2 linked regions of the Struthio camelus genome follow. The protein of the gene in region 1 binds, or shares a complex with, the protein of each later gene. Links are inferred from orthologs where the notes say so. Each region holds a gene or a part of one and is shown in the gene's direction. Other genes may lie near its edges. The genes, in order: NMUR2 and NMU.

Region 1 (15,051 bases):
AACTTGAGTCAGATTTGAGTCATTTCTCTCTGCAGCAGAAATTCATTTTATTAAAGGCATTTTAGACATGCTCATATGTTTATCAATAAGTGATATATTTAGCTTTTAGTACAATCGGAGCAAATCAGTAGAGTTCTGCACCAGCTCAGATCTGATGGGGTGTGTTTGCAAGTGAGCACAGGTAATGAAGCTGTCTTGGCCAGGCAAAATATCTTATCAGTCTGGACAGAGGATGCTAAACCACTCTCCCCAGTAAAGAGAGGGGGACTGAGCCAAACGTGCACAGCCACAGTACAGTTAATACTGGGGAAGAATAAGGAAAGCTGCACTTCAGTGGCTATGGCCTCAACCTTGACGTGTGGGCAACGGTATAAGGAAACGGCCAAAGAGCATTCTCCTGAAATCTGAAATGAGGAGGGGACAACCTTCACTCCCTTGCCTGTTTGCAGGTGTCTGTGTGGGAAAGCTCCTCAGCCTCAGGAGTTCATCTTTCAGCAATGGGAATAAGGTTCCTGACTGCAGAGTGATCTGAATCCTGGCTGGGGAGGAGCTGACCTAGCAGAGCTGCGGAATCTCAAATCACCAGGTCATCCGAGGGGGCCAGGCCAGCTAACCTCTACCCTGGTCCTGCACATGGGACCCGTTGTCTTCACTGCATGTGGATTGTTCCTTGTTCCCCTGCCTCTCAGCTCTCACAAGGAATTTTTTTGCAGTTCTGCTTGGGACTACTCATAGAGAGCTCACTCGCTGCAAATCATATAGGTGTTCTTGAGGTGTGCACTGCAATCTGAAATTTTTTTTTAAGAAGTTGATCTGCAGTTTGTTTTGCATGTCTAGGGCTCATTAGGCTATTTGAAAGCTATAGTAAATTATCTCTCTGCCATATATTTTTTTCAGCACTGCTGTGTCTAGAGCTTTCTCTCTCTCTCTGACTTCATAGCAGGAGACGTTCATAAGAACAGTAGCCTCCCTGGCTGCATTTAACTAAGTCAAAATACAGCTCATAAGGATAGCTTAATGGGAAAAAGAGCAGGAAGAGAACATCATGTGACAGCATATTAATGTTCCAAATTATGCACATCTTTTGATAAAATGTTTCATTAGTTCCAAGTCAAACAGTATTGGTTCTCATTGTGACACAAAGACAGCTGATCACTGTAATCCAACTTGCAGAGCAAGCTGAACAACAGCAGAAGAAAGAAGAGAATGGGAAACTCTTGACAAGTATTTTTGCCAAACAGTCTTTCTAATGAGCCGTAGGATAATACTTCTCCTGGAGCCAAGAAAATTGAAACATGCATAGATAATTTAAAGATGCCCTTTTGGAAAGTAGGAGCAGGAAAAAAAGTTGTTTCAGTTTCAATAAGTTTCATTATTATTATGTAAACAGTTCTAAATTGAATGTTCATTTTTTAGTATAATGTAACATATCACTGCATTTCAGGGGGGGAGGGAATAGAGTGTATATATAGTTTTCCAATAAGAGTAAAACTTTTCACATAAACTTCATTTTCTTCACAGGCAAGTAGACCTCCACACCAACCTTAAACAAATAAATGTTTAGTTAAGGGATTCTCTTAACATTTCTTTCATATACTTTTATCTTCATTTTATATATAGGTGCCATATAAATTCCATGTGTCCCATTTATTGTTTTTATTGACAAATTCAGTTATCCTATAACAAGTTGCAAGCTTTCTACCATCTCCAATAATACAATGCATCACTGCACTTCTTTGAATGCATTAAGACTCATCACTATGATTCCTTCCATCTCATCAGTGCATACGACTTTTACATATCCACGCACTATGCAGACTCTAGGATATGCATGTTTTTTTCCAATAGAAAAAAATCCCTAGGTGAGCAACAGAAGCCAAATGTATGCAAGCTGAAAAATAATACTGATAAGTCATGTCAGGGTAAAAAAGATGAAACTAGTTAAGTCTCTTGTGGGTCAGACAAGCAAGCGAGATGGGCTCTCCAGAGAAACATGTATACTGCAAGGAAAAGAAGAAACTGTAGTGGAGTATCAATGTTGTAATAACATGCAGAAAGCCATAGAGGGATGCTGAATAATCTGACTCTTCCTGCGTAAGTCAGAGCCCTGCAGAACCAAAGAGTTTTGCATTCCCTCCTGACTCAGGCAGTCTGAGTCATTCTGTATCGTGCTTGCAACGTCAATATATTTTCTGCCGTGACCATCCTTTCATCTTCCCCCACGTAAATCAGAGCCACTTCATCATGATGGACGCATTCAGGATGACAAGAGTTTCTGCATCAGCTTTCTTTTCCAGCTCTTTTTGATGTTCAGCTGCACACTGAGCGTGCACTACATCTTACCTGTCACCCTCTGCCTCCTGCCCACATAAACACACACACACAACACCCCACTTATGAAAAAGGAAGGACATTGTTCCCACTCATTACCAGGATGAACACTGACAAAACAACCCATCACTGAAAGCCATTTCAGTGGGTACAGAATCACAGTCACAGAATAGCTGGGGCTGAAAGGGACCTCTGGAGATCATCTGGTCCAACCCCCTGCTCAAGCAGGGTCAGCTAGAGCAGGTTGCCCAGGACCGTACACCCAGACTACCAGACAAGAAGAGACCAGGGAGTGATTTTTAGCACTGAATCTCTCACTGTCCTTGCTGTTTACCTGCTGTCTTGCTCTCAGTACTGTTTTTGGCTGTTCCGGCTAGCTTCTCCAAGATACAGCCTGGAAGTGGTTCACTCTATTTAGAGTCCTGCAGATAATAGGGAAAAGTAAGGTCTTCCAGTTCACACCTCCTATCTTATATTATGGTTTAGGACAAATCACTTTCTGGAGGGTCCCCTTTCTATCACTGACCAAAGAAGGAGCCTGAAAAGTTAGGCTTAGTTGCTGTTTTTAATGACTAAAGTTAGGTAAATTACCTGAAGTGCTCTGTGTCTGCACTGTCTGTATAGATTGTCAGCTACACCAGTCACAGAGGTGTGCTCCTTGGTATTTTGTACTGTACTCATGAAAGCCACTTCTTATGTGTGTTGATTGATATCCTGGGGACTTCAGATATCATGCACAGTCATGGAAAAACCATCTGCCTAGAGCTCAGATAATTGCAAAATGACTAACAATAAGGCAAGGCTACTGCAGATCCAGCTATTATTATAGCGCAGCTCACTCCTCCAGCCCGGAGGGAGAGAAAATATACAAAATATATCACGCGTTTGATGCTGCCTTGAATGTTATACTGAATACTTAGAAAGACGAGAAGGACTTACATGCCAGGTACAGCAGTGAAACAACTAAACCTTTGTAAGAAGAAAGAAGAGTCAAATCAACAGTCTATAGTTAAAACTTAGTAGTTTCTAGGCAAGGGTAGTAATTTTTTTCTAGCACTTATGTTAACATATTCAGTGCAGAATATCTTAATGCTTCTGCTTACCAATTCTACAGCCTCTTCTTTGCATCCCTGCGGGCCAGAGATGCTTCATACTGCAAAGTTATTAAAGGAATAGAACAGTGGTTTTGAACCAGCATTTCACAGAGCTGTGAGGATCTGCTGGCAGCTCCTACGGGGTCCACGAGAGGACTCAGGAAAGCAAGCTCCAACAGGCTTGGGTGCCCTCACAAGGGCTTTGGGCAACATGAAGGCACCTGAATTTACCGCTTCTTAAATATGCAACGTATGTGCTCTAGCGCTGTTACGTCATCTAAGGAAGAGACTCCACAATGTAAATGTGGCATGAGAAATACCACAAGCATCTTGAGGGCACATTTAGTCCTGAAGGAGAAAAAGCCACATCGTGACTAGTAGGGGGACAGTGCAGGAATATTTCCTCTGGGTTAATGTTGCCAAGCATATTATTCAACATTAAACTGCACATTTCTAAGGCTAGCATGCAGCACACTGTCTTCCTTTGAGTGGAAAACGGAAAGCACTGATGAAGTATGCATTATAATGGAAAATACAAAGTGTTTTAAATTCCTTTCAAAAGCAAAATATGTTTCTGTTTTCTATTATCTCACTTGTAAAAATAAAATGGTTCCAAGTATGCACATGCCAGGGTTAGCCTTTGGTTGCTGGATGTGCTATCTGATCCTTATTGGGACAGTTACACTAGAGAACACTGAAGAAAGCTTAGATAAATTAACTGAATTATATTTTCCACTGTCCTAGCCTTTCTTGTCCCCTCTGTCTGCCACTTAATCATGTCATAGTGACATGGTTCCAGGAGTGATCTGTTAGACAAATACACCTGTTTTCCTCTGGTGGTCTCACTCTTAAAGCTCATTAGCACTAGAGCACAGTACGATTAGAAAGGATCAGTGAGAGAGAACGAGGGCAAGTAGACACTGGTGAGCTTGGCACATCCACACATTGAGGTGACCTGATGTGTTTTGACAGCCCATTGCTTTCCTCTCACAGACATCATGAGAGCTTGGCTGCCTTGCTGGCTTTTTCAGTGAATGATTCAATCCATTTTGATTTCTTATCAGTAGGACTGAGTCCAAGCTGAGCAGACCTCAAGTTTCCTTTTCAATTCTTTACAGGGGTTAACGTATAAGAACAAAAGTGAAGACCAATTTGGTCATTATTTTTGAAGTGTTTACTCACCTCAGTCATGATGCTGTAGAGAGTGGGAGAACTTGCTAGGGGGGAAAAAAAGGAGAGAAATTGAAAGAAATGAGGTATTAAGGGCAAAAAAAAACCCCACTGTGGATATTAGGAAGAGTCAGAGAAAGTGTTTAGGCCTGCACAAATTCTTCACAAGTGTTTGCATCCTACTGCGCTCTGAAACGTTTAATCCTGATCCCCACCAGGCACCCCATTAATGACTCTCCTGTTCCTACCTGTAATGCCAACAGTAGTTTGCAATCAAATTCACATTCAATTGTTAAAATGCAATGAACCTCTTTCAGATGATTCCTTAATGAAGGGAGAAATAGGTCAAAGGGGAACACTCGTAGCTTACCAATCCAATAAAACAGTTTACTTGGCTCAACACGATGCCTCTGGGCAATGCTAAAATAAATCAGTAGAGGCTTTCTGATGGAGAAGATTTACATATGAGATAATTTCAGTGGATCAGAAAGTTCTCACAAGAGACACGCATCTGTCTTTTTGTGTAGTTCTTGTGGTATGTTCCATAACTCTAACATTTTAAATGAATGCACACTAGTAGAACAAAAAATCCTCAGAGCTCCACACATCTGATATGCCTCAATTCAAACCGCTTGGTCTCTGGGACCAGACCTTGGTTCTTTACCTACTGCTGCTATTCCTGGAGGCAGTCTGTGCCTATTACCAAAATATTTTCCTTACAAGGGTATTAGACTGCTACTAAAACAGAGGAGATGATTAGAGAGGGAAGGAGTAAAAGACGCAGAAGCTAAGACAGCTTTAATCCTGAAGTCTAAAAACAGTTTTTCTGCGAGATCAGGTTACTGCCTCGCTGCCCATAGTGGAGTGGCTTGCACCTTCCTTGGAAATACTTGGTACTCACCTCCTATCAGGATTTTGGAGGAGATGCTCAGCCAAGAAGCCTCTTCTTTTGTTCCTGGATGGTAAAAATATGCAGTCTTTGGTTAGCAGCCAGGGAAACTCAGGCTAAAGGGTCAAACAAAGAGAAGGAGGAGGTTCTTCACACATGGATACTAGATCCATGGAGCTCCTTGCCAAGGGATGCTGGGGTTGTAAGAAGTTTAAATGAACTCAAGGGGGGATTGGGCAGGTACTCAAAAGAGAGAGCGAGTGAGAGTTACTGAGTAGCCAAACTGCATCCCGCTGACAAAATCCCCCGAGCTCTCTCACAGCTTTTGTACGTCTACGAATCCAGACAGCTTAGCTTTCTGAATCTCCAAAGACAACATCCACGTGCTTTGAAGCTTTTTTTGTTTTAGCAAAATTCAGTAAGGAATTAAGAATTTATAAAGAGCTAACCGATCTATTGTGACAAAGCAGTTGTCTTTGCAGAATACACTTTTTTGGATTAGAAAGTATGTTTGCAGAATGGTTGCCATTCAGGAAGAAATGAGTTTATAAGCATCAATGGAAATTTTTTAAAAAGAAGTACCTGAAATGAATCCTGCTGGTACTAAATAACTCTTCGGAATAGTATGATGTTCTTCAAAAAGCATCTCAAAATGAAGCGAAGAATATGGGATCAGATTCCAGAACTCTCAAATCTCTGATCAAGCAAATTTGACAACCCTCCATGAAAATTTAATGTGCGCTTTGACGTAATCCTCCTTTACAAAATGAAGGAGGGAAAAAATATCTTGCTACCAATAAGAAGTGCAATTAAAATTCTATGTCAGGTTTCAGGAGAAGAAAAAAATTCTTTGTTTAAAAAAAGCTGAAAGTCAATAGTTGTTTAATTCCACATGATGAACTTCCAAAATAGTTTGGCCTTCTCCTGATAAATTTCTATTTCCAAGTACTTGCTGTCAGAGAGAACAGAAAGGAAAAATCAGCAGAGACATGAAAAAAAAATCTTTTTTTTTTTTTTTGCCTGTGGATTATAACTAGATGTAGCATCAATATAATTTCGTAAAAGCTTTTGGACTGAGGGTGTTTTGTTTTTTTTTTTTTGGTCTGGCTTCCCACTCTCTGACAAATAATAGTGCCCTGCAGCTAGTCTCACATCCTATATTTCGGATTCCCAGCTCTCTAAACCCCACATTTCTGATTCAGTAAATGCATCTGCTATGGGAGCTGATATAAGTAGCTAGAACCTCTTTTCTTACCCTATAATCTAATGCACTTAGCTAGCCAATGAATATGTGTGAAAGGAGGGGCTTTCTGGCTAAGGGACTCCTCGCTGGGGAGCAGCTGTTACAACGGCGAAACCTTCACCGAAACCAGGCAGACGCACTCAGATCTCTCAGTGGCTTTGTGTATTTAGATCTGGCAAGACAAGTCTCCCTCACTCTCTGCTAAAAGTGAGCATACTAGCACAGAGAACCTTACAGAAGTCTGGATCTCAGTGGGGAAACATTTCAGCAGAACCAGTAATGGCCTGGAGCACCAATACCTCCTGGTTTAATCACCTTGCTCTACAAGAACGTCTTAGAAGATATTTAAACAGCACTGAGGATTACTTAGCCTTCCTGTGTGGGCCCAAGCGGAGCCATCTGTTCTTGCCCATGGCTTTGGTGTACATTCTGATCTTTGTTGTTGGTGTGGTAGGAAACTTCCTAGTTTGCCTGGTAATCATCAAGCACCGGAACATGAAGACCCCTACCAACTACTACCTCTTCAGCCTTGCTGTCTCCGACTTGCTTGTGTTGCTTTTTGGGATGCCACTGGAAATCTATGAGATGTGGAGCAACTACCCCTTCCTGTTTGGGCCTGTAGGCTGCTATTTCAAGACAGTGCTCTTTGAGACGGTGTGCTTTGCCTCTATCCTCAGTGTGACTACGGTCAGCGTGGAGAGATACGTTGCCATCCTCCATCCTTTCCGTGCCAAGCTAGAGAGCACTCGGAAGCGTGCGCTGAGGACCATCATCGTGCTCTGGGTTCTCTCTGTCCTCTTTGCCCTTCCCAACACAAGCACCCATGGCATCATGTGGCAGTATTTCCCAAATGGCACCCTAGTCCCTGGCTCTGCTACCTGCACTGTGATCAGGCCCATGTGGATCTACAACTGTATTGTCCAGATTACTTCCCTTCTCTTCTACGTGCTGCCTATGGGGGTCATGAGTGTGCTGTACTATCTGATGGGGCTAAGAGTAAGTCCTACTGAAACCGTGCTCAGTGTTTCCCTAGCTCATTCTTTTGCGTGTGTGTGTGTGTGTCTGTGTGTCTGCGTGTCTGCGTGTGTGTGTCTGTGTGTGTGTGTGTGTGCGAGCGCGCACACATGCACATGCCTAAGTCTGATTTAATCTTTTTCTTGCCCATCTGTCTTCCCAAAAAAGACATTCATTTCTAACCCCCGAAAGTAGTGGATTAAACTCCTTCTTTGGTGTAACACCATTCTAAAATGAATGTAGCTATGTTGGGGAAATATTTACTCCAATCTTTTTTTAAAATTACTATCACTGCTGCTGACATTTCAAAGTTATTTTAACATCAAAATCTATGTATTGATTCCAGTCTCACAGAGCTTTGTACCTTTTCAGTGGGGACTAGAAGGAAACAGACCAAAAGAAAAATGTGAAAAGAATGAAAAGGAGTAAGGTAGTGATCGAATCTTGTGTATCATTTGTTTTCCCTCTTCTTGTGACTGTAGAATTTCTGTTTCATTCATTCTTCTCCTTCCCTGGAGAGTGTGATAATACTCAGTTTTTAAAACTCACAAAACTGTCATAAACTGAAATCCCGCCTTATTGCTGCAGGTAGCAATTTCAGCAATCATTTCTTTTATATAAGTATGGCACAGTTTCAACATAGATTAAGGCTACCTTGGAGTTCCTATGGAGCTCTCTTCAGAAAGTGGACTAGTTTCACAAAGTGTCATCATTTAAATATATGGATAAAACAAACACTATCATAGTATTATAAAGCTATGCAGCATGAAATGCACAGCTAGTCATAGTGAGTTGCTGATTTGTTCCTTTTCTTACATATATTTGGAAAACATACATCTTAAGCTCACTATCCTAAATATAACTTTGCATTTAAAAAGCTATGTCTGATCGTGTAACAAGGAAGGGATGCAATATACCTATCTGAAGCTACACAAAAGCAATTTTTCCATACTCAGGAAAAGCCATAGGGATTAATTGCCAGAAATCTATAGCACGCCACAAATCTTTGAAGGATGAATGGGTTAAATTCTTGCAAAGCTACAGTTCAGTGGTGACTGTGGGTTCTTTGCATAGTTTCACTGAAAATTTTGAAAAATAAGACCAAAAGGGAAGGGAAAGTACTGAAAATAGTGTATGTTAAAAAAGAAAAAGAAAGCCCAAAACTAGTAAAGAGAAACCTTGAAGACTGCAACAGCTTCTATTTGTGGCAATAGATATTCCTAACCCCCACTGTAGAAGAGAAACTGGGTCCCAACTGATGGCTGCTTCTTAGAGGTTTCTGTATAGCCACAGATTTGTTCAAGTCTTCTGTCCTAAAGGCTGCAATGTATCTTTGTTAATGCGTCTGCTTTTCTTTCTATCCATCTCAGACTTCCAAATTTTAAACTACACCTATCCCTGGTATATCTCCTTTGTGCTCCATGCTGCACTAGGCAAGATAGTTTTATTTTTCAATTTAAATGATGGGTGAGTGGTGTATATATACCATTTCCAAGAAAAAAACATTTTTTATCTAATCAAAGTTGATGAAATCTCTGAAGCTTTACCTACACCCTAGAGTCTCCTGAATGCCATGTATGGCTCATAGGCTGTAGTGGAACAATTCAGAATTGGTCCAAAGATTGTACAACAGCTCAGATTCAGCAAACAAGGACACAATCTTTCTGTTCTAATAGTCCAAGCTTTGGAGAAACAGCACTTTCTGACTGTAGTTTCTCCCTCAAGTTTTACCCAGTGCTCAGGAGAGCTTCAGGATGCAACACAAAAAGAAGTATGTGTGACATGTTAAGGAACTATGAGAGGGCAGCAAACGTGGATCACACAGTTGCTGACTTCATTTTTAATTGTATTCCTTATAAAAATAAAAAAGATATTTGTCTTCTTCACTGGGAAATTCATGGCCAACCGAGCCTTCAATCTGATTACCTCATTATCAGTTACCTCATGATCTACTTCAGTTTAATTTTAAGGCTTGATATTTTAGTACTACACTGCTATAGGCAACAGACAGTTGCAACGTTACTATAGGAAAGAGGACGCTGATGATTACACTGTAGCCTCATTAGATTTGATCTTGGAAGCTTCTGACTGTCTCTTTCCAGGAGTCCTCATCACAGAAGCCTTCAGGACTGATCCCTAAATTAGTCAGAAGTGCTCTCTCTTCTTACAAACCCAGTTCAGCCACAAGGCTACTGGTTGCAAGTTGTAGCCAAAAAGCTGAGGAGGAAGAGGCAGGGGCAGAAGTGAGAACATGGGGATACGGCTGCTTGTAAAAGCTAAACCTTACAGCGCTGCTAGAGGTGGAGTGGCATCACTTGGAGAGAGAAGTCTGTGCTGCAGCAGGATTCGGTTCAGGGTCCCTGTCTTTCAAACTGATCTTGAAGGCACAAGGGTAGGTGGCTACCCCTGGTTGACTGAAAGTTAGATTCCGGTGAGCTAGGATTTTTTACAGTCAGTGGAGAGAATGTTATTTAGCCCACCTACTTAGGACATCTATGAAGGAAATCTAGATGATCGGATGTGACTACACTGACCACACCTCAGTGAGATTATTCAAGAGACCTCACAAGAGACCAGCATTTATTTTGGTGTCAGCTCCCTGCAGTAACACACTGAACACACTGGTAATTTTGATTTCATCTTTGAGTTACGCCAGCTTGTATTTGCCAATGAACAGCTGGTCCAGATCTTCTCATCAAAATCTATTTTGCCCCTGAAATGCCCAGCTGCCCAAACAGAATCATTTGCGGACAATGACTGCCTTTGGCTAATTTCTGCAAAGCCCAGTGTACTTCTGGACAGGTCTATCTCCTTTCCATTGAGGTTGTTCTGCAGACTTTGTTCCCACTAATATGTTTTCCTTTGCAACAGGGCTGAGGAAGAGTACGTGCAGGGGACCACAGGGGTTCAGCAGCCTGATGGCAGTTCATTCAGCCAAATCACGGATATACAGGATCGCATGCCCTAGCACAAGCCATGTGGCTTTTAAACACCCAGTTCTCCATGAGCTGGCACAAATGTTTGATCACTGCTTGTGTCAGACAGGCCAGACATTTTTTAAGAAAAACGATTCTCTTGCTTTTGCTGAGTGACCTCACTAGGTTTGCCTAGGGATAGGCAAGGCCCTAATTTCACTCTGCCTTTTGATTTCTAGTATAAAATACTGTAGTTAATAAAGATGCAGGGCGAAAAAAATCCAATTTTCAGCTTCTTTCTCCAGATATTTTTAATTCTCCTGCAGGGAATGGGTAACAATCATCTCCAGGCAGCTCGACATAATCTCACAAACAGCCCAGCACATCCACAGTGATGTTAAAGTAACCATTAGCCTGGCTCAAGGTCTCCCTCTGGCAAGCCATTGACATGAACTCAAGCTAAAACCTTTGCCATAGACTCATTTCTTTTTCCACTTTGTCATAAGTCATTATTTTATTAAATTGCAACTGCTGAATTATTCTTACTAGTTATACCTCCATGTATTATCACTCAGCCTAAAGAGGACCTTATAGCATTATCAAAATGACAGGAGGAAGGTGAAAAATAAAGATATATGTCTCTAGTTTATTATAGTATCAGAGCAGAGTATTCTGTGTGGCTTTGGAGTATTCCTGGGATAAATTACTGTTGAGACTGAAAACCACTGAGGGAAAACTAGGGCTTTTATTCAATCTTAGCAGACACTTATCACTAGATGTGCTACAAATCAGCTGACCCTGTTCCTTAAGCGATGCGGTCGTGTCTAAAAATGACAAAGGGAATAATGTAAAACATGGGAAGCTAGTTGCCCTATAATTGAATATAATTCAGTTTAAATATACTTCCCTTTTACGGTTTATATCTATAAATAAGGCCCTGAAAGAAGGTCTCTTTGATCAAAGTTACAACATCCTTAAAGAAAAAGGCAGTTAATCAAAAATCATGAAACAGAACCACAGGAGAGGAGAAAGGAAGCGGCACAAATAGCATGATTTCGTAAGATTCTTACAAATTTTTTACATGCTTTTGTCTTTCCTTTCAGCCAATATCTGTTCCCATACAATTAGAAGTTTTGTTTCTAGTTTCTCTCTGTTGAAAAAAGCATCACTCCAGAGTTGTTGGCTAATCAGCACTTCCCGCTTTCAGAAGCTGTGTCCAATTATGCACCCTCCATAGATAATTCCTGTTATAATCAAAGCAAAAAAAAGTGTTTTTTGCCCTGGTTATCCAGCCATCACCAAAGCACCAGAGCTCCTACCTTAAGCAAATTGGGGAAGCATTTCAGGGAGGATCAGATTTTTGCTCTTTAGGTCCATTCTTGGAAGTCTAGGAAAAACTGCTAGGATAAAAAAAAAAAAAAGTTGTACTTGATCTGTATGTGGCTGAATCTGGGCATATTACGCATGCTGGCTTTCTGCAGGATGGGACAGATAGGCGATATTGTCAGATGAATTGAATATCAATTAGTTCAAACACTCAGGGCATGAATGAGCTCCCTTCAAATCTATAGGATTTTTTCCAGTGATTCTAGCTGTCTTTCAATGAGGCTTCTCTGGGTATTTTTGGATCATTGATTTGTGCTTAATTGCTTAAAAGGGGAACCTTTTTAGGGAAACAAACAAACAAAAAATATTTTGCTAGGAGACAAAATAATGTTGAAACACAAACTACAGGCTAAATATTGAATCATTGAGAAGGGAAGAGTGGGGAACTTAAATATAAATTTGCTGTTAACATGCAGTCTGAGGTGCATAAAATCAGCAGCTTGTTTTGAACTTATAGCTTCACTGTTTCCCTAGACTACAACTGAAATTTAAGTAAACATTTTTTCAATGAATCCTGAGTTTCCCCACATTTTGGCTTCTCAAACTCAAACTACAGCTATCATAATTTGCAAAGCCTATTCTCAACATCAATAGGAGGAAACTAAACCCTTTTACCACACTGTAATTCAACATCATCTCTGGTTCAGAGAACTGGTCTACATATCCTAAATATTCTTGGTTTGAGATCTTTATTAACAAAAAGCAAGCCAGACATAATGCTCAGGGACAAAACGGCTGGTTAACCATTAGCCCAGTGCAAATGGTCTTTTTTTGCAATGGTTTCATTCCCACCAGGAAGGTTGTATGTGTAGTGAGGAAGTCATCTCCTATTTAAGCTCTCCTTCTGCTTCTGTCCTTTTGCTAGTTGAAAGGAGACAAATCTTTGGAAGTGGAGGAAATGGCTGTGAATGTTCAGAGACCATCCAGAAAATCAGTCACTAAGATGTTATGTAAGTATTGGGGACCTTCTGTATTTTATTGACCATGGACAAGAGGCTATATGTACATCTCAGACAAGAGAGGGAAGTGCACATAGAATCTGTTTGGAGTTAATTCCTAAATTTGAAACTCCAGTGACTGGGTCCCGAAGGCTACCAAGCAACTCCAAAGGATCCAAGAGTCATGGATAGCTTATTTTCAAAAAAAATGCTTATTGCTGTTTTAGCTGGAGTCTTACAGACCATGGGAGCAAAACACTGGCTAAGAATCAAAAGAGGCATTTTCCTCCGCGTTGTAGAGCCTGAGAAAACTTAAGTGGCAGGTACTTGGATGGCAAGTCTCTGTTGCATCCCTCAGTCCACACCTGGCTTTTGCAGCCTTGTAGCGTGAATCCTTCTATCTCAGAGTACAAATACTCTTTCTCGCATATTTCTTACAGAAGGATGCACACCTGTGTTCTCATTAAACAAATAATTAATGAGATATCTATAGCCCTGCCCCAACACCAGAGAGCATACGTTTCATAGGCCTGTAAAATGTCTCACCAAAGGCTCTGCTCATGTCTCAGACAGGTCCTGCTGAGCAGCATTCATCACCTACTGCTGACTTCATGGCTCAGACCTTCCCAAGAAAAAGTAGAGACCTAGGTAGATTTATATATACAACACACAATATACAACACGCTGGAGAATTTGTGCTCCAACCACCCTGAAAGTACTCACATTGCTTCCGAATTTAGGGCTGCCCTTAAGGCAAAGATCACCTTACTACAGGGATGGTGTTTATGCAGGAAACATTAATCGTTCTCAATACTTGACGCAACAGCATTTTTCTTCTAGGCAGCTTAAGTCACCTCCTGAACTGGGAACCTGTGCTCTGAAGTCAGGATGAATTTCTGTCCCTGGTGACTGTAAACACAGACATTAATAGGACTGAACTCTGGAATGGGTTTGCAAGAGTCCTCACTGGAGCTGTCACAGGCCACGCTGTGCATGGAGGCATACTTCTTCATGCTAAGCAATGCATCCAGCCAGACTCAGCCTCCGAGGATGGCTCCCATGGGCTCATCCTGTGCCATGTGGTGTACAAATAGTGTGCAGAGGACATAAATCCTATGGCACAAACTTTGCTTTCTGTGCATGGCAGACTCACAGTCCAAGTGGTCACTGTGTCCCAGGTACTACAAATAAAACCTTGTGTCTCATTGGCAATTTGTTTATTAGGTTCTGGACAAGCTACATTACTTGGCTGTTGCCTGCTCCATCCAAAGCTCACCATGTGCCCGTGTATTGATTTATCAAATATAGAGATCTGTGGAAAGTTTATTCTTTTACTGGAAATATGCTTTTCAGTTAGCACTGCAGAAAGACAGAAGGGATGGCACAGGTTTTGAAACAGTGAATAAAATTGTATCTCTGGTCTTTCATCTAGCTTTCTGAGCCATCTCTGCTCAGTGCAAGCTAGTGAGCCCTATCAATCTGTAACTGACTCTTCTTCTTCTTCCCTTTCTCCGTACTAGTTGTCCTGGTGATGATTTTTGCTGTTTGCTGGGCTCCATTCCATATAGACCGGCTCTTCTTCAGCTTTGTGGTGGAGTGGACTGAGCCTCTGGCTAATATATTCAACTTAATCCATGTGGTATCAGGTAAAACTTGCTTTTTCCACTTGCTTGGGGGCTGGAAAAACAGTGTTTCTGAGCGGCTTACCTGAATATTTAGTCATTTTAATTTTAGGTGACCATAGAATATATACATGAATTGAAGGTCAAACACAGCTTCATGATTTTATTCCTCAGAATTAGGAGGAATTTATTCCTCAACTAGCCATCGTTGAACAATTTTTTCCAAAGTACACGACAGGCTGTCTAAAGAGTTCAAAGATTACCAGCTGCAGAACTGTCTTTCTCCAACGTAATTGACACAAAATGTCAAACATGACATAACAGATAGCAATGTGTAACATCCGCTGAGCTATGTGCCACAGTCCCCCAGTTACCACCCAGCCTACTGGGCTCCCTGCCCAGTGTTGCTATGTATATTGTTAAAAAAGCAAATAGAGTGGAACTAAAAA
Region 2 (15,684 bases), on another chromosome or scaffold:
ACTTCTGCCCGTCCTGGGGTTAGTTTTCCAGAAAGCAAGCAGTAGTAGCTGTCTCCCATTTAGTTAGGTAGATAGAAGGATGACTTAGGAAGTACAGGATGTGTGCAATGTCTGCTGGTGGAGCAGTCAGCCAGATCTGATTTCTGTGAGGTAGTTACACATCTGAGAAGTAAAGCTGGAGGTAGACTTGAACTTGCTAAATTGAGCTCTCAATTCAGGGCTGACTGAAGAAGCTGGAGACTGATGCATTATATCACGCTCACTTTCCTGAATGTGTGCTTTCTAATGGTAATTGTTTCACTGTGACATATGTGCCTAGCAGCCAGAAGGTATAAAAGTTAACTTCTGGATGGTATGTTACTGGCATTGTTTCCTTCTTATAGTGATTCTTCTAAGTATGTAGAAGTTCTCTATAGGAAATTTATGCACAACACTCGTCATATTTAATGTGATGAAAAGGAAACGATGAACTAGTTATAAAAGTGTCCTACTTTGTTTAGACCATATATTAAACCTGGCTAGGCTTCTGTTGACCTTATTAAATTGCAAGAAAATGAGTAGAAGGTAGGAGAGCATAAAAACTCTGTTGAATGATCTCTTTCGGTATGTGTATATGTGTCTCTTATTTACACATACACGTAGGCATTATGTTCACATAAAAGAAACTAGTAAGCCAATTTTTGTACTTTTACTCTGTTGTTCATATAAAAGATCTCTAAAAGTCTGAAAATAAAATTTATTTCCAAATAATGTCTTTTTCCATCTGCCTGTTACTATTTTTGTTTCATTTTGTTTTATCAAGGGCCAAAGTCAACAGTACCTGCTTTTTGTTGATTTTTCTTAGCACTTGTGTCAAAATATGTTTGTTTTTGTACCAGAATAATCAATTTTACCACAGCTTTAAGAATAGAAACAGTTTTAACTTATTTCAAATCCAGCCAACAGTGTCCAGTAGAAGTATGTTCCTCTACATCACTTATTTTAAAATAATACTGAAACTGGTAAAACACTTTCTTTAAATGAGAATTAGTTATATAATTACTTGTTTCTGTAAAAATAAAGTTCTGTGGTCTTAAACTAAACTGTAAGATCTTTGAGGCAGGTTTTTTTTTAACTGAGTATTTGTATGAAGCCTGATACCTTCAAATATGTGTTCTTTTCATAGCCTTTATTGGCTTCCTCCCACAATTAGAATAACAAATAATGATCCTACTAACTCCAGGGCTGTCACTTGAGATGTAGAGTGTAACAGTGGTGCAGATGGTCCAGTTGTATTTCCTGTTACAGGGAGAACTGTCATTCACGGTAGTAGTTGGAATAGCCTGTCTTAATCAGCATTAGTTAATGTTTCTTCACCCTGAGTAATGTTTTTTCATAAGGAAAAAAATCTTTTTTTTTTTTTCCAGGAGGAACCTGTGTGATCTAGCACATGATATGAGCAGACAGATTTTTAATGAGAGGAGAACAGACTGCAGTTCAAGTAGCTTTCATTTGGATGGTTTGTTCTGAGGAGTCATTTTTACCACTCATATGCTGTAAGTAGTGACGTATATAGCTGTGTGCATATTCATGCAGATGCCAAGGTGTCAGCTAATTAAAAAGAGAAAGTGTCACTTTTGTCTTCTAAAATGTAACAACTTCCCTAAGGAGTTAGTCTAGCAGCTCTACTAGTTCAGCCAGTTATAGGGTTCATACCGTCGAACAGATAGAGAAAAGCTATAGCTTCTCAGTTGTCAGAAAGCTTGGGATTTCTAGAGTTAGTTGAGCTCTCTGTTTTTCTGCGCACAATAAGAATGAATTGATTTAAAGTTGTTTATTACTATATTTTCCCAATCTATGCTATGTACATTATGTAACCTAAAGAACTATTAAAAATTAATAGTGTGGTACAGTAAAGAAACCAGTAACGAAGGATGAGGACGCTACTATGCTGTGCTTGATACTTATGTATAATGAAAGGATGATCCTAACCTAGGAATCTTGCAGGCACCTTTCTCATAGTAACAAATTATTTTCCCCTCAAACTACCAAGGAAATATATGCATGCCGCACCTATGCGGAGAAACTCTGTGTAGTAGGCATTAGCTGTACCTCACTAGCAAGCTGGGGGAAAACCTGTGGTGATTTTGAGATTAATATTCTCAGCTATTAAAAAATAAAGGGAAACATTGAACAGTGTTTACATCTCTTCATCTTATCTTTTTTTCAGAGAAATGTCAGAGCTTAGACAATCTATCAAATTAAGCCTAGGATTGTAATTTTCTCTGAAGCCAATGGGAGCACACAACTTTTGCCAAAATGCATCAGAGTTCTGTAAGCAAAATTTCCAGAAAGCCTTCCTCCTAGTTGGAATTATGTACCTATTGTGAATAAAACAGTGTAAACCATTCCTAGGTGGCATTAGTTTGTTTCTCCTTCAAAGAGAAATGATTCTATTATAAAATCATCAGCTCAACTCACAGTCTTGTGGAAGACAGGACAACAGTTTGAGTGTTATTAGCCATCCACTGTCACTTTTCTTTTCTGCTTAAGGTCTTTTTACTTACAAAACCTGCAAGTTCTGAAAGCAATGTTGATTTTTTTTTTTTAAATCATTTTATTAATTAAGTGTCATTAATTGACAGGTTGCTCAAAACCCTATTTTCCCAGGTAAGTCTAATCATGTTCCTTTTTAAACAATCACAGCTGTTGATTTGTCCTGGGCTTTATTAGAGAAAAGTATGATCTTGGAGATCAGCCACTTTTCAAACAGCTTATGAGACCGTGCTTCTTACTCATCTGCTGTCATTATTATTTAATGTATTACTTTTATTTGAATAGAAAATGAATTTTTTGTACTATCCTCAGGACTTCATAAAACAAACTGTTCTGTTTCAAGTTCCATGTTTTGTATGGAAATAATGAGGAATGTTGATGGAAGAATTAGTTAAAAATCATTTATCTTCACCTTTTTTACATTGTTCATATATGTGTGTTATAGATAAGTACTGTATCACTCTGTAAGTTTTGGCTTTTCCATGCTGAAGAGTCCTAGTCTTGTCAAACTTGCTTTGTACTGAACTTGCCACAATTTCCAGCATTTTTTAGCTGTGGGTGATCGGAACCGCAGTATTCCACATGTGGTTGCACCACAGGTTAGTACAGTGGCTGATTAGTGTTTTTTATTTTTAATTTTTTTCAATATTATTGATTTTTTTTTCCCCTTTTACTGCACTGGGCAATGAGCTTGTGTCCTTGTAGAACCATCCATGGTGATTCCAGTGTCTCTTTCTTACATGATGGTTTACTTCCTGTTGCTGCACAGGTACAACATGGGCTATTTTTCTCCACGTTCATTACTTTTCAGTTAGCAGCATTAATCTTTCCCCTGAGACTGCAAACAATGTGGAGATGAAATTTAGTGACCTCCCTTTCTACCGTAATGAATTCCTTTCGAACTAAGAATGAGGAAATGGTCAGTTTTTGCCCATACTATATGTCTGTGAATAGGAGACTTCAGTCTCTCTGTGCGTGGTGAGCGAAATTTAGTCCTAATTTAAATAGGTTTCCATTAGTTTGCAAGAGTTGCGCTAATACTGTTTTTCCTGAATTTAGTCACTGTTGTTCATCGAGCAAATTTCCTTTGCCCATTTAAGAGCATCTCTCTTGTATGCAAGGACCTTCTTATACAAAAGATTCAGGTTTTGAAGATAGCTCTGAATATCTGCAGCAGTCAGTCCTAGCACTATTTCTTAGTGCAGTCCTCTCAGCCCAGGGGCTGGGATTTCTGGGATCATTTGCAGCCAGAGTTCCAAAGTAGTTCGGAGAAGTTCTCCTCTATAGTTCACTAGAAACTTCTGAGATCACTTAAATTTTTTGTATTCGTAGAGGAAGAGCTGAGGAATTATTTTGAATAAAATAAGAAGAGACTGTTCTGAAAAAATATAGGGCCTATCATGCTTTAAATGGCTTGGTTTTTGTTTGCTGTTTCCTATTTGTAGGGAAATAAATCTGCATTATTAGTCAGTAATATATGAGGACAATACCTTAAAGAAAGAAGTGCATTTTCTGAGTAGGGATTAATTGATGCTTGAGACTTAGAGAACTAAGCTTGGTGGAGGCAAAACATAAACAGGTTAGAAGAATACCCATGTTTGCAACTTGTTCATTATATAGAAGGGCAAAAAGTGTTTGTGTACCCGTTTGAAGTTGTGAGAGACACTGGTGTGCTTGCTTACATTGACCCAGTTCAAGCACTCTGCACTAATAAAGTCGGGAATATTTTGGTGAAGGAAGTACAGTACGGATAAAAAGTATCTCAATGTTTAAATTCAGACGTGAGTGGAATGGTTTCTCATCATTTTTATTAAATCAAAGTCACAGAAAAAACAGTGTGGATCGACCTCTTCACAGGCTGTGTATGCGTATGCACAGAAAGGCAGTGGATTCAGTGACGTTCTGCCTGACCTTGACTTTTCTGAAGATGGAGAGGATGATGGTTTTACATACTCAGCTGTTTGATTTCCTTTCCACTAGCCATAATTAACATTATTCAGGCAACATTAGGAAGAACATAAATATTTCAAAGAAGCTAATTACAGCATCCAAAACATCCTCCAAGCTGTTCTTTTAATGAGGATGTGCTTTGTTCCTGCAATAGTGTAACATCAATTTCATCAAGCAATTAAACAAAACAAAAACAGATACAATACAGAAAGATGTATTTTCTCCTGCTTACACAAATGGTCTATTACTTGCATTTCTGTGAGTTGCTTGTGTAAAGTTCATCATCAAAACTTACATAAACTGAGATCCAAGTTTGGAGAACTTATTCTGTCAAAATCCACATAGATCTCAGTAGGAATTTTGTATCAGTATAAAGTTGAGTTTAGGTTTATTGCAAATATGCATTTTTATTAATAGTTAAGTTGTTCTTCTAGGATATGTTTAGGAAGATGATAGCCAAATCTGTTTACTTTACCCATATGTCAGAGGTCAGGTAAATTAAAATCAGGACAAAGGCACAGTCTAAAATGAAAATGCAGTTCATATTGGGTTGGAAGTGCTGGAAGACTCCAGTCCACTAGGATTCAGGGCACAAATAGGTTTGCATGTTTAATGATTACTGCTTTTGCTCGTTAACAGGAATCAGCTGAAAACAAAATTTGAGTTTCAGATGAAAGATTAGGGAGCAATACAACTCAAAGCATAGAGAGAAGTATTAAATGCTTCTTTTCTAGTAAATGGAAGACCAGAATTTTTCTGACTGGAAATTTTTTGGCATCATCCTCAATCTCCTTTAATATGTTCTATGCAAGTGGATTCAGCAAAACTTTTCAGACTACAGTTTAAAACAGATATCACAAATGCAGTTTGGGGCTAATCAGAGCTCTTTCAGTGGTAACTAGCATTGTCCCCCGGGGTCAGTACTGAGTCCAGTCTTGTTCAATGTATTCATCAGTGACCTGGAGGAAGGCACAGAGTGCACCCTCAGCAAGTTTGCTGATGATACTAAACTGGGGGGAGTGACTGATACCCCAGAGGGCTGTGCTGCCATTCAGAGGCACCTGGACAGGCTGGAGAGCTGGGCGGAGAGGAACCTCCTGAACTTCAACAAGGGCAAGTGCAGGGTCCTGCATCTAGGGACGAATAACCCCATGCACCAGTACAGGCTGGGGGCTGGCCTGCTGGAAAGCAGCTCTGCAGAGAAGGACCTGGGAGTGCTGGTAGACGACAAGTTGACCATGAGCCAGCAGTGTGCCCTTGTGGCCAGGAGGGCCAATGGTCTCCTGGGGTGCATTAGGCAGAGTGTTGCCAGCAGGTCGAGGGAGGTGATCCTGCCCCTCTACTCAGCCCTGGGGAGGCCACATCTGGAGTGCTGTGTCCAGTTCTGGGCTCCCCAGTACAAGGGAGACAGGGCACTCCTGGAGAGAGTCCAGCGGAGGGCTACAAAGATGATGAGGGGACTGGAGCACCTCTCCTATGCAGAAAGGCTGCGAGAGCTGGGCCTGTTTGGCCTGGAGAAGAGAAGGACTGAGAGGGGATCTTATCAATATGTATAAATATCTGAAGGGGAGGTGTCAAGAGGACGGGGCCAGGCTCTTCTCACTGGTGCCCAGCGACCGGACGAGAGGCAACAGGCACAAACTGAAACACAGGCAGTTCTATCTAAATCTGAGGAAAAACTTCTTTGCTGTGAGGATGACAGAGCACTGGCAGAGGTTTCCCAGAGAGGCTGTGGAGCCTCCTTCCCTGGAGATATTCAGAACCCGCCTGGACGTGATCCTGGGCAATGTGCTCTAGATGACCCCTGCTTGAGCAGGGGGGTTGGACGAGATGATCTCCAGAGGTCCCTTCCAACCTAAACGATTCTGTGATTCTGTGAAAATAAATTTATTTCAAGAAGTATCATTTTTTCACTCTTCTTAAAATATTTTGTGCACCACTTAATGGAATGTTTACAGGTATGCAACTTTCAACTTTATAAAATACTATAATTTGTTATATTTATTAAATATTTAATAAAAAAACCATTAGTTAACAAAATATATAACAAATTAAATCCTTCTTTAGGCCTGTGCTCAGGACACAGATTAATGCATTTGAACCAAGATAGAACATCAGGGAGATATTCTTCAGGGCTGATGAATAGGATAGGATTTAGGATAATAGGATAGGATAGGATTTAGGATAATGTCCTTTAAGTAAATGTCTTCTGTTTTTATTAGCAGAATGCAGAACCAAATGCAGTTCCTTGATTTGGATTGGCTTAAAACAATTCTTTTAATTAGGTAGATATAAATACAGTAATACATACAAAATACAGGCTTGTTTAATTTCTGTAGTGCTCTGATAACTTGCCAGTTATCCATCAACACATTCTTTTCCCTATCTTATTAAGGAATGCTTCATTACTGAATCTGATAGAAGGATCTTTCTTCTCTTAGAGAATTATGTAGTTTCTTAGCACCCTGCTTGGCAAACTTTTCAAAGTTTTGATGGCCTGTCAGGAGTATTCATGGTGGCAGAGTACAAATTGTAGAACATATGACTGATTGGTGCAAGGGCAAAGAGTGGATATAAATGCAATTGTGACAAATCAAAGTTGTCTTTTGCTTCTCAGTGACACCTGCTGTTCTTGTCAGGCAGCTTTACACCATCACCCACCATTTGCCCCCAGCGAAAATTCACTGAAATGTCCAAAAACTGCACATTTATTTTTGAAGAGAACAGTCTCTAAAATACCATTGTCTCATTGCTGGAGCATTAGGTCTATTTCCTTTTAAAGACAGAAAAATAAAACAACCACGTAAGCAATGGGAGAGAATGGAAAAAAATGAGAAATAAATCGTGAGGCTAAACTGTAAACTGTGAGATCCTGCCGTGAAATACTCTCTGCAGCGTCTCAGCATCAGAGCTGCACCTCAGCAGTGCAGGATCTTCCTGAGGCCAGGGCTGAGGGAGCAGGGACCGCCTGCGAAGCACGCCTGCGGGAGGCTGGACTCCGCTGCTTGGTTTGGCGTGAGGGGCAGGCCAGCACCAGCCCTGGTGTCCTACTGGCAGCAGCACAGTCTCGTGGCTCAGGCAGCAGAGGCACCTGTGCACTGGGGGAGCAGCTCTGGTAAGTGGGGACTTGCTGTGCGTCAGTGCTGGCTGGCCTATGCTGCCCATAGGTCTCTACGGATTTGGGATCTGGTGTTGCATTTGAATATCTTATAATGGAGTTATCTTGGCTATCTATGATCTGACAAGGCATAGTAAATAACGCCTGGGAACAAGGTTTGCAGCTGTAGCCTAAGTAAAATGCCTTGCTAAGCACTGTGTTAGGATTTTAACTCCCAGATATCACCATATTGCTATGTACTGTTTCGTGATGTGTTGTTGTATGTGTATGGGATTGCTGTCCTAGTAGTCACTCACATTCAAGTTACGAAGCTGGTTTCTGTTCAGACAACTCCCTGTTGGGGATGAAATGCACCAGTGAGGTGCAGGGTGAGGGGGCAGGTCTGGTGACAGTGGCCAAGTTCAGGCAAGAGCCCAGACCGTCAGACAAGTCCCTGGTGATGGAGCAGGTCTGCGGGCAAGCTGGGAAGTCAGTCTGTGGGTCAAGGTTTGGATCATGGGGCGCATGAGCAGGGCAGGGGCATGGCTGCAACAGAGCTCGGGCAAAGACTAAGGGCAAGAGGCCCAGTTTAAATGCAACTCCCGAGCAGAACGGAGCAGCCTGCACTTCTCGCTGCTCTTCAGAGAGCTGAAATACACAGGTCTCTGATCCAGGGTCCAAACTGCGCTGCTGTCCCAGCTGGCCTTGGGTAGAGGCAGCCAGCGCCGACTGGGGTGTTGGTGTGCCCAGGGGCCCAGCAGCCTATGCCTTTATGGCACTTTCCTTAGCTGCGCAGTGGAGTGGTTTCCTAACTCTCTGTGCCGCAGAGGGTAGGGGAAGTCAGGGGTCAGTGACGCCTCTGCAGTGGTGGGTGCCTGTAGGGAACGGAGGGAGCGGCGGCTCCCAGGCAGGCGGTGCGTGTTCGCAGAGCGCCTGGCCCCAACTGCTGAGGTCCTCTCCCGCGTGCGAGCTCTGAGAGTTTTATCTCCTGGCTTTGGTTAGGCTGGGGCAAATCTGTGTGTGTGACCGCCCAGGTTTAATTCATGCCTCTTCTCCTCTCCAGGCTGGGATTGGACAGTGTCTGAAAAACTCACCTTTGCCACCCCCGTGTCATTACTGTGAATGACCCAAGTGAGTAGCGGAGAAGCAGCACCTGGTGTGCTCACTGTCAGGAGGCTGCTAACACAGCTCGGTGTGTTGTACCTGCGATTTTTAAGCAGGAATTTTTCTGAAAGAGGAGATTGAATAGGAAGGGGCCTAGAGCCTGCCCGTCCCCTCAGCTTGATGCCAAGCAGGGGCACTGGCACGGCGAGTCACAAGGGGAGCTGCCCCCAGAGGTGGGAGAGGGGCTGAGTCACCAGCTACCAGGCAGCGATGACAGGGTCTGGCCCTGGGGTGGGTGATGGGAAAAGAGGCAGGGGTGGGCATGGCGGGTGGTAGGGAGTCTGACGTGTCCTTGGTGAGTCAAGCTGATGCTAATCCACGTGTCGGGGAGATTTAAAAAGTTTGGGAAGAGAGAGAGGCATGCCCAGACTGAAGGCTGGCAGGGAGGCAGAGCAGGAGACACCATGGTCATCGGAAACTTCTGCCACCAGCAGCCTCTCGCAGCCGCTCCCCTGCGCAGCCGGAGGAAGGCAGGGGACGGCAGCACCGCGCCAGGGTCCCCGCTGCTGCTGCTGCTGCTGCTCCTCCTCGCCTCCTGGCTGGGTGCTTGCAAAGGTTAGGAGCATCCTCCCTCAACCCCTTCTTCCACTGCCTCCTCTGCATTTGGGGGGAGGGGGGTAATGGGGGAGGTGAACCTCCGGCAGCATGCCAGCCTTGCAAGGGGGCTGCGAAATTCCTGCCGAAGGAGCTGCCGGCTGCGTGCAAGCCGCTGCCTCGCTGCAGTTCTGGGGTGGGATTAGATACCAGTTTGTGAGAGATACAAAGAGACGCGCAGGACCTCACAGGCTGGGTGGGTGCCCACGGGGGTGTCGGGGCCCTGGCTACCCCTGAGCAGGAACACGGGAACAGCGTCCAGGGCTCTGACACCCAACAGGGAGCTGCTGCTGCAGCCAGACCGTGTCCCTTCATGCTTCTTGCAGCTCTTTCAGCTCCAAACTTGCAGCTCTTGGGAAGGAGGCTCCAGCCCGGAGCCCACGCAGGGTTTGCCAAGGAAGGCCCCCCAGTCAGGGGCCAAGGCAGAGCGAGTCCTGGTAAGGGGGTTTCTTATCTGCTGCTGAGCAGGGCTTGTGGCGGGGGGCGGGTGTCCTTATGTGTCCCTGCAGGGTTCCTCTGTCCTGGCAAAACTACAGTCCAGCAACTTGGGGAAGTGGCTTGTGTTAAAATGGATTTCATTTTTAAACACAATTTACTTGATTTAGATGCTAACACAGAGGAACTATATGTTTTACAGAATCAGAGGAGAATTTAGGTTGGAAGAGACTCTGGAAGTCATCTAGTCCAACCTGAAACAATATTTATTACATTAGGGATTCGTGGGTGCTGCCTTGCACATAGGTTTTATTTAAGTGGAAAAAGATAGAACTTGATTGTTTGCTTTAGAGACAGAATTTGATTAGCTTAATTTAGTTTGAAATATAACATGTTGCACATGAAAGTTACAGGTTTTGCAACAGGCAGTGCTTGTGAAACAAGCACAGATAATGGACATTTTGACAAAACATACTTTGTTTTCTATTTTTGCACTCTGTGTATATTAAATACTTAATATGACTTGTGAGAATCATTGCAAAAGAAGTACATGTGCAGTGAGCATGTCTGCTTTCTTGTATTGTGTATGTGAGTTACTTTCATCAGGAGTTTTCATTTTGGTTTATTTTTGATATCAAGAAGCAGAGAAATTTAAGTACACTATGCTGAATATTCTATTCAAAATAAATTCTCAGGTTGTGAAAGAGGGAAGGGAAGAAAAAGGAGGGAAGGGATGGGCAATGGACACACAGTATTTTATCACTGTTCTTATAGAAAAGATTTCCAGGAGCCCATACAGGGAGAGCAGAGGAGGAAGAGGAGAAGAATATTTAAGAAGCGAGTCCCAGGTTGAAAAGTTACTGAGAATGTGCATCTGGCGTTCTGCTGACGTGGAAGAAACTGAGTTTTTAGCAGTGGGCAGACTTGAAGGAGAAGAGAGCAAATATGTAGTGGACAGCATCAATTCTGTAGGAGGATTTCCTCTTCCATGTTCCTTTTGAATAGAATTAGCTTTCCTGAATAGCATCAATTTTTTTCTATGGATATTTTGTGTATCTTACAAGATCACTTACTGTTTCCCAGTGTGTGTTAGTATGAACGTATGTAAATGAATGAAGTCCCTATAGCCTGCAAGAGTGCACTGCTTGGTGCTGGAAGATGCGTAGTCCCAGTTTGAGCACAAAACAGATGGGACTGCAAATGAAATAAGGATTTTGTGAAGCTCCATTCAAAGGTTTTTGCTCCAAGGAGGAAAAAAAAAAAAAAAAAAAAAAGCTGCTCTTAGCTTTACAGGCTGTTGGATTTCTTCTCTTCCCCTGGAAAGTCTTGGGAATCAGGCAGACAATTCCAGTTTGAATACATTAATTAAGAATAAGATACAAAGCAAAAGAATTGTAGCACCTTTAATTTATTTGGAGTTTCTCTTTGAACTAAAACAAACATCAAAAAAGCACATTTTTCACTGGGAAGCATTTACAATGTGGAACTTTCTAAGAGATTTGAAAAATTTCCCTTTCCTACATAGGATGAAGTTGAGACCTCCCCACTTTTTTGTGGGAAGAACAGGCATCCAGAATAATGAGTCACACTGAGTCTGGAGTACCAAAATGGGATTTTGAAATATACTGCTTTACACCTGAAAATTACTACTGTTGTTATTAGTGGTACTTGTAAAACAAATGGGGATGATGGGCATTCATATCTTGCTCACCTAGTCATTATGTGCTAGGTCTATCTTCATCTCTCTTTTCAGTTAATTTCATTCAACATTTCAGGAAAAAAAAATTACCACAGGTAATTATAGACTGTCTGGGAGGCTACAAAACCACTGGACATCTGAGGTCTTCAGCAGGCTATACCACTATTGCTCAGGCATGGCTCAGGGACAGCAATTTTAGGCAGGGGGATAAATGACTTCTTAGGGTCTCCTGCAGTCCTAGGACTCTGCAGCTACAACAATACTCTTCCCCAGCAGCAACCCACTTAACAGCATATCCCCACACCGATATGCTAGTGTGATCTCTAGAGTGCTCTGTTCCAGATTAGTGATGTTGATTTCTGTTATTTAGGGAGATTTTGATAGTACGTTATTACTAGAAATACACTATCAGATAAAATAATGAGAATGTGGAAAGCTGGATATTTTGGGAGCTAAGCTGGGAGGGACCCAGATATAGTAACTTCCAGGTCTGCATCCCAGGTGGGCAGAGAAGGAGAAGAGGAGCTGCCCCCAGCCAAGCACAGCACCCAGGGGCACACAGCAGAGCTTGCTCCAAGTGGCTTTTAACAACTCCTTCTGCCAGATCAGATCAGTACAGAGGCTGCACTGTCTCTGGTACAACTTATTATTCTCCATATTCCAGCAAAAGGCAGATTGTACTGTTATACACGGCCTTAGCTTCAGCTTTCCACCGTAGCTTTATGAAATTATAGAATACATCTAATCTTCTAAGAGGCTGAACTTTTCCATATAGCACACACCAGATAGAAGAAACAAAGCCAATTACATACATACTGTCTATTTCTTTCTCAGAAATGCCGTATTCATGTCACATGTATTATTGAAATGCATGTATTATTGAATAGGTTACGTCGCACATGTTTAATTGTAATATATACCACAGTAACAAGTAGGATCCAGATTCTCAGCGTCAAATGAGTGAACTGAAGGTGAGCTGAGTTCTCAGAAAGCTGGAGGACTTGATAGCTGTAGATGCTGGAATATTTTTTCCTGAGCAGATCTAGAGCTGGAGAGCTGCTGCACACATGTTCTTGCCTGCTACTTATTGCTGAGAATAGACTAATGCTAGGCTGACTGTTGGTGAAAACGAAGCCATTTCCACCCTGTATATTGCAAAGAGATGAAAGTGTCCATATCTGCCGCCACCTTGTGAAGGAACCTGCTGCTGCTGTGAAAATGAAGAGTGGGCAGAAAGTGCCAGACCAATCTAGGAGTGGGTGAGGTGGGAGATGCCCTCAGAGCATTAAGCTCACTGTACAGTCAACAATAAAGGTGCTTGAGACTTGCAGGGTATTGTATTATGTTCAGAATTATTATCTAAATCACTGACATAGAATCCTTATGAAAATGACCTCTGCTGTATGGTATTGACAAGCCCTGTTTGTGCTTCCAGGTGCACCGATGCCATCCCAAGCCCTACAGGCAGATCAGGATTTGCAGCTGTGGAAAGAGGTAAGCATGATGGGCAGGCTGACTCAGCCCTTTGCTGTAGGGGTGACAGCTGGCAGTGATTCTTCCAGTTATTGGGAGTAGGCCAGGGATGCAAGATTAAAACACCGCAGATGCATACCTCAGGCCTCAGCTGCAAATGCTGTGTGGGATGCTCCTGTTTCTTCTGTGCCAGTCCTTGGTCTCACACCTCGCTCTCCCACACGTCTCACGCATGGAGCTCAGGTGCTGCTTCTCCCAGTCCTACCTCTCCTGTTCATCTCCTATCTTGATATCAGGGAAGAAGTAAAACGCCTTATTTTCTGGATTTTCGGAACAGTTGTTCCAGGAGGATGATGAGGCTGAGTGTTGAAGTGTTATTCAGGAAAAAAACTGTCTTGGCTCAATGGAGAGCTGTGCTGGAGAACCATTGTTATTTAACTGTCAATCATCAGGCAGTCACTGTCCCTGGAAACAATGGTGTCCCATTTAGTATTTTTATAGTTTGTACATGATAACAGTAGTTGTTTCAGCTCATCCAATTTATCTCTTACTTCTTCAGTTCTGCACACAGGGCTGGGTATTTAATCATATCCTAGCATCTTAATTTACTAGGTAAGGGATAATGTCCCTTTAACATTTTAATACTGACTGCTATTCTGACTTCCGGTCCCCTCTTTTAAAGTTACACACATTTGTTCTGATGTGCGTTAACACAGATTCTTCTGTGCCCTTTTGGAACAGATGGGGCAGCAGGGCTTAACATTTAGAGAGGGCTAGCCTGAAACGTGCCATGCTCCCCTTGCTGTCATCCTGAAGGACTGTGGTGACATTCTGTGGCTTCTGATAACATGAGAAAGCAAGCAACTCATCATGGAAAGAAATGGGTACACATATACAGAGTAAATTTGCTCCTGTTGGTGCCTTTCCAGGACACACTTCCCTTATTGACAGCTCCCCTTCTTTCATCTCAGAATTACTGACTCCAAGACCAGCCTACTCACAGACTGGCACCTGGACAAGGCCTGATGATGTTTATGTCCTGGGAGAAAAGTGATGTCTCAGGAAGTAAGATCCTAATAGCTAGAAGAGTTTATGAAAATGAGTTATTTAAATTCTGGATTAAAAGATGCTGTTTTACACATTTTTGCATTTACTCTTTGATTTGCTTTTGTAATACAAGATTTGCTCCAACAGCCACTGGGGGCAAAGGCAAAGCTCCTTTTTTCAGTGCATGGAAAAGTATGGATAAAATACTAAATTCTGTATGAAATTATGTAACATAATCAGTATAAAATGTTGTTAATTACAACTAGAATAATGCATGCCTGGAGAGAAACTAAGAAAAGAGAATTAGATGCACTCTAAATCAGTCTGAACAATACTAGTTCACCAGATTTTCTCTGAATGAAAAGAATCTTTTTTTTTGTTTTTTACTTTATTAGTTGATCATTCTGGTCAGGAAATTAAAGCTGAAATTAAATTAGTAGTTTCCCAGGAATGACTCTGAGTTTATAAATATGGGAACTTGGTAACTACAGTGCTCCTTTACTGTTCTCCCACACCAGTTCATTCCTTTATTCTATTTAACCAACCCCGAACAGCTCACAAGCGCTCATCCTCATGCCACCTTTCTGAAGTAGGAGAGAAAATTAATGAGAACATGCATCAAAGATGATAGAAATTAAAAAAAAAAAAATCCAATTCTTATTTTTTTCTTAAGAAAAGAACAGTTGCCAAGTCCTGAAACTATGACTTTTCCTCAGTCCTTCCTTTTTATGTGCAGGTTTTAGCTAAGAGACCCTCTGCTTTGCACTGTGATGACCACAAAGCAGTCTCTGCCTTTCCCTGCCCTTGAGTTATGGTAGTTGTCTAATAGTCACTTCCAGCAACAAAAGAGACAAACAAACAAACAAACAACCAAAAAAACAAATAAACCTTCACCAAGAAGAAATAAGAGGCTTTTAACTTGGGCTTACAGAATGATTTCAGCTTAATTTATTTTATTTGCCGCTAATTTCTCTGTTTACGTTTTCTTACCCTGAAATCTCAGTAGTGAAGGTGAACTAATGTTCCCAGAGAGGAGCAAATGTAAAATCAAGGGAAAAGAACAGGGGGAGGATATGTTACCAACAAAAATTATTTGAAAGGGGAATCCTGTGAGCTATTAGCTTTCTCACTATCCCTGCTAATGCTTTCTCATAGATTGTCCCTAGAGAAATGAATCATCTCTTGTCTTAAAGTACTCAAATATGCATTATTTTTATTGCTTTTTTTCACTTAATGTTTTCTTCACTAAAGAGTGCTCTTTAGGGCTTTTTATCTATAATAAAATTAAAGGACCCATTGTGTTGTCCACTCTTCATTTGAAAAAAAAAACATTTTTGATGCAAACTGTGAACAGTATAATGATTGTCAAAGCTTTTTGGCATCCAAACTAACAGTATCAAATATTCAATGGAAAAAATTGGTGTATTCTAATGCAGGTTGCTATTGATACAATTTTAAAATTATATAATGAAAAGTTAAGCCTTTTTTTCATTATTATTAAATTTTGCATCTCCAGTTGGAGTACTGGAGATTTTTTGGCTTCCCTATAGAATACTTCGAGCTTTCAGCCCTGGTAAAATAACTTCAATGAATCTGAATGTCCTTTTTTCTATTTCTTCTCCCCTGATTAATATTCCTGATTAATAACTGCACCAGAAATGATTCTGTAGTCTGGGATTCTTTCAGCCTG

What was found.
Region 2: the proteins of NMUR2 (region 1) and NMU are in contact, whole or in part, in a cryo-EM structure (PDB 7XK8), measured with the Homo sapiens proteins. The link is inferred for Struthio camelus from reciprocal best matches to the Homo sapiens genes NMUR2 and NMU. Residues at the interface, in NP_064552.3 of Homo sapiens: Ser42, His43, Gly98, Glu102, Glu105, Met106, Trp107, Arg108, Asn109, Tyr110, Pro111, Thr123, Phe126, Glu127, Asn181, His185, Pro199, Ser201, Thr203, Cys204, Val206, Tyr213, Phe284, Arg288, Phe291, Glu295, Trp297, Ser298, Glu299, Ala302; in NP_006672.1 of Homo sapiens: Glu146, Phe152, Ala153, Ser154, Gln155, Gly158, Tyr159, Phe160, Leu161, Phe162, Arg163, Pro164, Arg165, Asn166.

What each region holds. Positions count from the first base shown.
Region 1 is NC_090954.1:12,816,200-12,831,250, forward strand, and holds the start of NMUR2 (neuromedin-U receptor 2), read left to right. Parts: upstream 1-7,006; coding exon 7,007-7,723; intron 7,724-12,907; coding exon 12,908-12,992; intron 12,993-14,500; coding exon 14,501-14,626; intron 14,627-15,051. UniProt on the Homo sapiens protein: Receptor for the neuromedin-U and neuromedin-S neuropeptides.
Region 2 is NC_090945.1:56,459,784-56,475,467, forward strand, and holds the start of NMU (neuromedin-U), read left to right. Parts: upstream 1-9,129; 5' UTR 9,130-9,150; coding exon 9,151-9,301; intron 9,302-9,666; coding exon 9,667-9,777; intron 9,778-12,909; coding exon 12,910-12,968; intron 12,969-15,684.